Linked DNA regions of Xenopus tropicalis. The protein of the gene in region 1 interacts with the protein of each later gene in a biochemical or structural test. Links are inferred from orthologs where the notes say so. Each region holds a gene or a part of one and is shown on either strand. Other genes may lie near its edges.

What was found.
Region 2: the proteins of ect2 (region 1) and racgap1 form a complex in vitro, tested with the Homo sapiens proteins (3 studies listed by BioGRID and IntAct, with this or other methods). The link is inferred for Xenopus tropicalis from reciprocal best matches to the Homo sapiens genes ECT2 and RACGAP1.

Annotation. Positions count from the first base shown.
Region 1 is NC_030681.2:110,939,691-110,943,520, forward strand, and holds part of ect2 (protein ECT2), read right to left. Parts: coding exon 3,766-3,830; intron 3,495-3,765; coding exon 3,384-3,494; intron 2,497-3,383; coding exon 2,400-2,496; intron 1,759-2,399; coding exon 1,677-1,758; intron 1,388-1,676; coding exon 1,309-1,387; intron 1,037-1,308; coding exon 917-1,036; intron 1-916. UniProt on the Homo sapiens protein: Guanine nucleotide exchange factor (GEF) that catalyzes the exchange of GDP for GTP. Promotes guanine nucleotide exchange on the Rho family members of small GTPases, like RHOA, RHOC, RAC1 and CDC42.
Region 2 is NC_030678.2:148,514,396-148,518,225, reverse strand, and holds part of racgap1 (rac GTPase-activating protein 1), read left to right. Parts: coding exon 1-16; intron 17-96; coding exon 97-295; intron 296-814; coding exon 815-920; intron 921-999; coding exon 1,000-1,132; intron 1,133-1,212; coding exon 1,213-1,342; intron 1,343-3,275; coding exon 3,276-3,384; intron 3,385-3,477; coding exon 3,478-3,553; 3' UTR 3,554-3,830.

The DNA.
Region 1 (3,830 bases):
TACCCTCTTGCTTGAGGGTGTCAATGATGGCCTTCTGGACAGCAGTCAGGTTGGCAGTCTTACCCATGATTGCGGTTTTGAGTAATGAACCAGGCTGGGAGTTTTTAAAAGCCTCAGGAATCTTTTGCAGGTTTTTAGAGTTAATTTGTTGATTCAGATGATTAGGTTAATAGCTCGTTTAGAGAACCTTTTCATGATATGCTAATTTTTTGAGATAGGAATTTTGGGTTTTCATGAGCTGTATGCCACAATCATCAATATTAAAACAAGAAAAGGCTTGAACTACTTCAGTTGTGTGTAATGAATCTAAAATATATGAAAGTCTAATGTTTATCAGTACATTACAGAAAATAATGAACTTTATCACAATATGCTAATTTTTTGAAAAGGACCTGTAATTGAGAATTTACATTTGTAAGCGCTTAAACTTGAGTGAGAACAAGTGTTTGCATGGGCATGTGTTTGCTTAGCTATGAATGAGAGACTGTACATCTTCTAGTATGGTAATGGAAGTCAGAGTGTGATTTAAGTACGTTTGAATCGTTTTAGTGTAGAAAATTCTGGTTATATAAATGAAGTTAGGGAATACAAATATGTACAATGAATGAGCATTTTAGACAGGCACTTAATGCAAATGTTCCCCACTTTCCTAATATGAAAAAGTAATAAATCTTTACTATTTCCTGCAGGGAAAAAAATGCTTGTTGTGTCTCTTCTATTTACTATTACCGTCGTAAATTTTTACACACACAAAAAGGTATATATTTCTATAAAAGTGCACAAAACACTTATGGCATCAATTTAATTTAAAAACAAAACAAAAAAAACACATTGAAAATCAGCAGATAAAGTTCACAGCATGTTCCATTCCAACATGCCCTATAACACTCATTTTAAGATTTTTATTTTTTTTTACCTCAAGGCAATCATTAAACAGGAAAAGTGTAACTTGTTCTCCTCGATCACAAAGATCTTCACCAAGTGCAATTGTTTCTACACGCTGCACTAAAATTCGGTGGGAAGATAACAGATTTGCCTAGAACAAAAAAAAAAAAAAAAAAAACTTATAAAATATATGTACTGCGTCTATCCCTAAATGTATGGGCCAGGATACAATGCCACACAGATAAATGAACATACAGATAATATACAAGGATCCTATTTAATGGGTATAGCCTGATTTGCCCTGTACTAAGCACAATTTAGGAAGAGGTTTGGTACCACTAAAATACACATGGATTATAAAAAAACACTATGTTCTCCTGGAATCATGAGTTCTAACCCCTGCATGTAGACTTTGATACTTACAGGACATCCATCCACTTCATAGACGACATCAAAAATCTGCTTTTGCCCTTCAGTCTTCCTTTTATCTTCATTAATGTGCCTGGAGATAAGGGACAGTTAAATGAATTCAGTTACCATAGAATGCTGCCAAATGACATTCAGGCAGGTTTATGGAAGCCCAAGCATTAGACCACCGTGATCTCAGAGAACCATAGCAGTCGACATGTCCATTTACATCCATTTTAAATGAGCAGAAATGCAATGCCCATGATACTTCACAAGCACTTCTCAGGAAAGGGGAACTAAGCTTTTACAAACAATTCCTAGCTAAGAGCAGCAGCATCTGCAGGTCTGCCCCACAGAGCCCAACGCTTAAAGCTTTTACTTACATCATGACTTCTTTTAATGATTCAATTGCTTTTTCCAACATTACTTTGTCTGGGTTATCATCTGCTGTGTGCTTTTTGAGATCTACAAAAACAGAAAAGTTTCAAGTTACTTTCAAAGACTGAACAGAGCAAATCGCCAGCAATTCTATGCAAAACATTATCTTTTCAGAAAACTGGCCAAATAGTTTAGATGTAAACTTGTACTTAAAGGGGCAATATACTCTTTTGTTCAACATGAGTGCAATGAATAGGTTTTTAGCCTATTGTTTTAGTCACAAAAAATCTGTTTTTTGTTGTTCTTAAGCTGAAAAGGGACATTTAGGGTACTGGCACACTGGCAGCTTAGTCACCCCCAACAAATCTTTGCTACTGTGGGCAACTAATCTCCCTGAAATGCTTTCCATCCAGCAATAAATTGACTTGCCGGTGGGAAAACATACACAGCACTTTGTTTTTCTGAAGTAGCCTCTTGAGGAAACTTTGGTCGAAAATGAAGCATCACATGTGTTTTTCCCACTGGCGATTTACTTTATTGGTGGTTAAAAGGCATACGCAGAAAACCAGTTGCAGCTATAGCTGAGATTTAACATGGTTGACTAATCTCCTGGTGTGCCAGTACCATTAAGGTCCCCTGTGTTTGGTCCTTGCAAGGTGAATATTGGTAATCTAATTATGTACCTTTTTAGTAATAAAAATATAAGAACAGATGAATAATCAATTTACCATTCAGAAGAAGTGCAACACTTGGTAACCGTTGAACAGGTCTGATAAGGAGCTCGACTAAAGTTTGTCGTCCACATTCTGGCTTTGACTGGTTGATCTAGAAGCATAATACCAGTTATACTTATTATTATAGACTTAATACGAATAAAGTCACGTTATGGTGTTCTCAATTGTAAAAAAAACAAACAATGGGGTTATCAAACTTGCATTTCAGAAAACAAAACTTAGTACAAGTAGTGGGGCGAAAGAGGTGAGAACTTTTAAAAGAAGCGCTCTCAAGTTTATTGGGGGGTCCTTTGTAATGATCAAAAACTTCTTGTGCTAATCAAGGAAGGTTACAGAGCAAGGGATTTTGAGGCTCTTAAATACCTTCCCACCCATTCAGTCACTGACTCATGCTACTAATGAATAGTTCATGCGATTACCTGACACTTTTGGCCTACTCTTAGGAGATCTCCATTCACCCAGCCTTGTCCCATCTGTTTACTTACATCTCTTTATTATGATTTTGTAGGGTGCATATTGCAGAAGGTACACATTTTCCCCAAGCAACATATACTGCATTAATCTTTCTAATTATTATTTATCCATGATTTGGCTTGAATCACTGCAAAAGGATAAAGTAAAAATCCATGGATTGTTCTTCAATCAGACTATGCTTACCGTTCCCCAGGGGACAACATACATAAAAATTCCTTTTAGCCCCAAGAAATTCTGAACTGACTTTCATTGCTAATGCACTTAGATAACCATCACACTAAAAACACATTTCGATCCACCAGGGACAACGACCATCCTGACGAAGGTCCCTGGTGGATGGAAACGCGCACATACGAGCATGGAATAATACATTTTTGACTTTTTTTGATTTGCCATCTTGCTGTGAGGGCTTTCAACTTTGTGGAGACATTTGTGTTAGACATTTTTTAAAAGCATCACAAGAATTTAAGATTTAGAAAACATTTGCATAAAATGCACACATACCTTTAAAAAAGCGTGAAATCTCGGTTTCTGCTTTTCACATTTTATAATCATTTCCTTGCTCATTTCAAAGAAGTTGACAAAAGGTGGATATATTTTCACCAGATCTTTAGACTAAAGACACAAAAGGTATTTCTTTAACACATTAAGCAAAACAACTGTGTAAGATGCAAGATGCCTATTCTAGCTTACTACTTACTTAAATGCAGCATACACCTATAGTGTAACTCTGATATGGGGATCTGACAAAATATTTGACAAACTAAGTATTCAGATATATATATTTTTTTTTTTTTAAGACAAAAACCTATAAACACTGAGCATAGTGTAAAAAGGTCAGTAAGCAAAAACATTGTAAAAAGAATTAATTTTCAAATAAACTTACATAGGTGAGGATAATATCCCCAATACTTTTACTTTCGGCCCAGTCAATCATAAGTTTTTCCAGGT
Region 2 (3,830 bases), on another chromosome or scaffold:
GAGAGGACTCCATGAGGTATCTAAAGAATGAAATGTTTAATGATGCCTTGTGGTATGTACTAAAATTCCACTAAATTGTTTTGTAATGTATTTCAGACTGGTTTGTATCGAATTTCTGGCTGCGACCGTACAGTGAAGGAACTTAAGGAAAAGTTCCTCAGAGGAAAGAGTGTTCCTCTTCTAAGTAAAGTGGATGATATTCATGCCGTGTGTGGATTCCTGAAGGACTTTCTGAGGAATCTCAAGGAGCCACTTCTCACTTTCCGGCTAAATAGAGTTTTCATGGAAGCAGCTGGTGAGTGGTTGTCTGACTTCTGTCCAAAGCAATTTTGTTGTCGTATAGTAGAGCATGCTTTATTAAACACAATGATCTCATTACAGGTATAGGAACTGTTATCCGGAAACCCATTATCCAGAAAGTTTAGAATTAAGGCTGTCTCCCATAGTCTATTTTAAACCAACAATTCTCATTTTTAGAAATTTCCATTTTTTTTTTTATGTAATAACAGTGCCTAAGACACATAATTAATCCTTATTGGAGGCAAAACAATCCTATTGGGTTTCTTTTATGTTTAAATGATTTTATAGAATTTCAGATATGGAGATACATATTAACGGAAGACCCCAGGTTTAGGGGTCCCATACCTGTACTTGTATTCACAATACATCACCTTGTTTTGCATGTAATAGGGCGATTGATAAACAATTCAACACTTTCAAGAGCATTCGAGAAGGGGCCTACCTTGCGCTTTCCAATAGCTCAGGACTCATTTCATATTATTGCACCTAAACTTCAATGTACATATTTTATCAGAAATTACAGATGAAAAGAGCAGCATTGCTGCTATTTACCAAGCTGTAGATGAGTTGCCAGCACCCAACAGAGACACGCTAGCTTACTTGATGATCCATCTTCAAAGGTGAGCGATACTGCAAATTCAGCCAGTTATTTTATGGGTGAATCCTAAAAGCATCATACTGAAATGTCACATTTTCCAGAGTGGCCCAGAGCCCAGACTGTAAGATGGATGTGAGCAATCTGTCCAAGGTATTTGGCCCAACTCTTGTTGGTCATGCAGTGCCAGATCCTGACCCCATGACAATTCTTCAAGATACAAGGCGACAACCTATGGTTAGTATTTTAAAACAGTGATTTATGAACTTTGTGTTTTGGGAATGTGATTTTAATGCAGTTTAACATTTTATTATTAGGTTGTTGAAAGGCTGATGCTATTACCTGCAGAATTCTGGAATCAGTTCATGATGGTAGAAAATATTGACCCCAATCACATTATTGAAAATGCCAATGTTTTTAACACTCCTCGGACTCCTGACGCCAGAGGTAAATATACACTACTTAATTTTGTATATTGATTACTCTTAAATTGTTTCTTGCAAATGTGACTTGTTTATAAGTGTAAAATAGCAGCTGTAAAACTGACAAATCAAAGTCTTGATTTAGGATTGTGTGTATAAAATATATACATGGAATTGGTTTCAGAAATTTATCCATAGTAGGTGTAAATTGTACAGTTAAAGGAAAACTGTATATTTATTAATGTGTTATTTAGATGAAGCAGGGTTTTACATATGAGCTTGTTTATGCAATATATTGTTATAGAGACTACCTTGGTTGGAGGTATAGTTCCTTTAAAGTAAAAATACTTCCCTTTTTGACGAGCTCATAGTTATGTAAGTGCAACACCTATCTAGTCCTCCAAAAAAAATATTAGTGTATTGTTTTACACAGACTTGTGATAACCACTTCCCAGCATCACTTTGGTTTACAGTTTTATGATGGATTCTGGGACTTAAAGTCCAACTGCTTTGCAGAGAATGTGTGCACAACCCACCATAAAAAGTAGAGTGACTTTGTTCCAGAATCCATTACTTAACAGTGGCGGTGGCTGGGGAAGTGGACCAGTCCATGCAGTACAGACAGATTATCATGGTTTCCTTTTAATCTGTGGAATTGAATATTCTGTGAGTTTAGGCTTTTGTAGAAAGGTACATAAACACTAACTGAATTGGCTCCCAAGAGGGGATTAAAACTGGAATGAAAAGTAGATGAATCCATTTTAAAGTTTTATATTTAGCTATAGACTACTGCTGTATATCAAGACATATATTTTGACTGCTTGGATTTTCACAGTCCCACTAGCCCCCCCACCCATTTGATACCCCTGTGGGGTATCATAGGCACTAAAAGGCTGCAGCCTTTGGGACTAGTTGAAAAGACATTCATGCAGTGGTTACAGGCCATGTGAAACACACATCTGGCAATGCTCTGGTACTAAATGGTACTATCTACAGCAGGTGGAAACTCCCTGGGTTTCCTCATAAGCCTATACAGAGATGCCACTAAATATATTCCCTGCTCTAAGCACCCCTGCTGGAGAATTTGGATTTTCCGCCTGTTAGAGCAATAACAGACTGTTCTGTTCTCCAAATGTTCTCAGAATGCCGATTGTTAAAAAAATATCCACTTTAATATATTTCTATTTAAATAAACCCAATATAATTGTTTTGCCACAATAAGGTATTATTAAATCTTAGTTGGGATCAATTATCTATAAAACCCTGCCCTGAAAGCTCAAAAACATGAAAGCCGTCTCTTAGTCTTAACTTTAATCAAGTAATTCAGATTTTCAAAATCTTTTCTATCCAGAAAACCACAGGTCCTGAACATTATGGATAACAGGTCCTATACCTGTACAAGGTTCTGTTTTATTATGACGGGGAAAAAGGAAATCACTCTTAAAAATTTAAATTTGATTATAATAGAATCTATGGAAGATGGCCTTTGCCATAATTTGGAGCATTCTGGATAATGGGTTTCCAGATAATGGAAACCTGTATAGGTTTGTTTTTTTTTTTTTTTTTTGTGGCTGCAACCAGACTTGTGTGGTCAGTCATATTTTAATTTAAGGATGGACGTCCTAGAACTTTCTTTTTAAGATGTAGCAAAGCTGTATCAAATCCCTTAGTCATGTGACTGTCCAGAACTGATGCAATACTAACTCCTCAGAGGATTGGTCCAGATCTAAATATTGGCTTTAGCACACCCCTAGCTCTAAATTGCTGATACGTTGGATTATAAGAGAAATTAAACATCTTTGTGCAAAATAATTATTTAGCATCTGCTGCAGTTTGACAGTGATTACATGTTGTCAGGGCACTGAAATTACTTTAAAATTCTGGAAAATTGTTAACTCTGCATTAAATTAAATGTGGACTTTGTATAATGTGTGTCATTTTTATCCCTCAAATTCCAGTCAGCATGTTAGGACCCCTTACCACTCCAGAGCAACAATTCAATAAAACTCCATCATCCAGCTCCCTTTCTCAGAGGATGAAATCCACAATTGGCAAAAACACACCAATGTGAGTAGTCACCATAATAGGTTGGTTTGAAGTTTCCTAAACTCTGATGTTACTGATGACTTAAATCTTTTTTTTTTTTTTTTTTTTTTTTAGGTTTGGAAGCAAAAGTAAATCCGTAAGCAGCATCCCCAGACAAGGAAACTTTTTCGCCTCCCCTCTGCTTAAATAAAAAGTCCGGAGGGTGCAAGTTATACACTACTCCTGGTGTCTACTAATCTACACTTGCTTTTAAACACTTTTAATGCATTTTACCGAAGGGATATATATATAAAACATTGTACTGTATTGCAAGTATGCTGCCAGCCATTAACAATTTTATAACTGCATTTTTATCATTTTAGTTGGCTGCTATAAAATCTTCATTGTAGAAAACTCATTTTAAGTTTTTAATTGTTGTAAATTGTTTTATCACAAGGTCTACATGTTTTGTTTTCCAATTATATTGG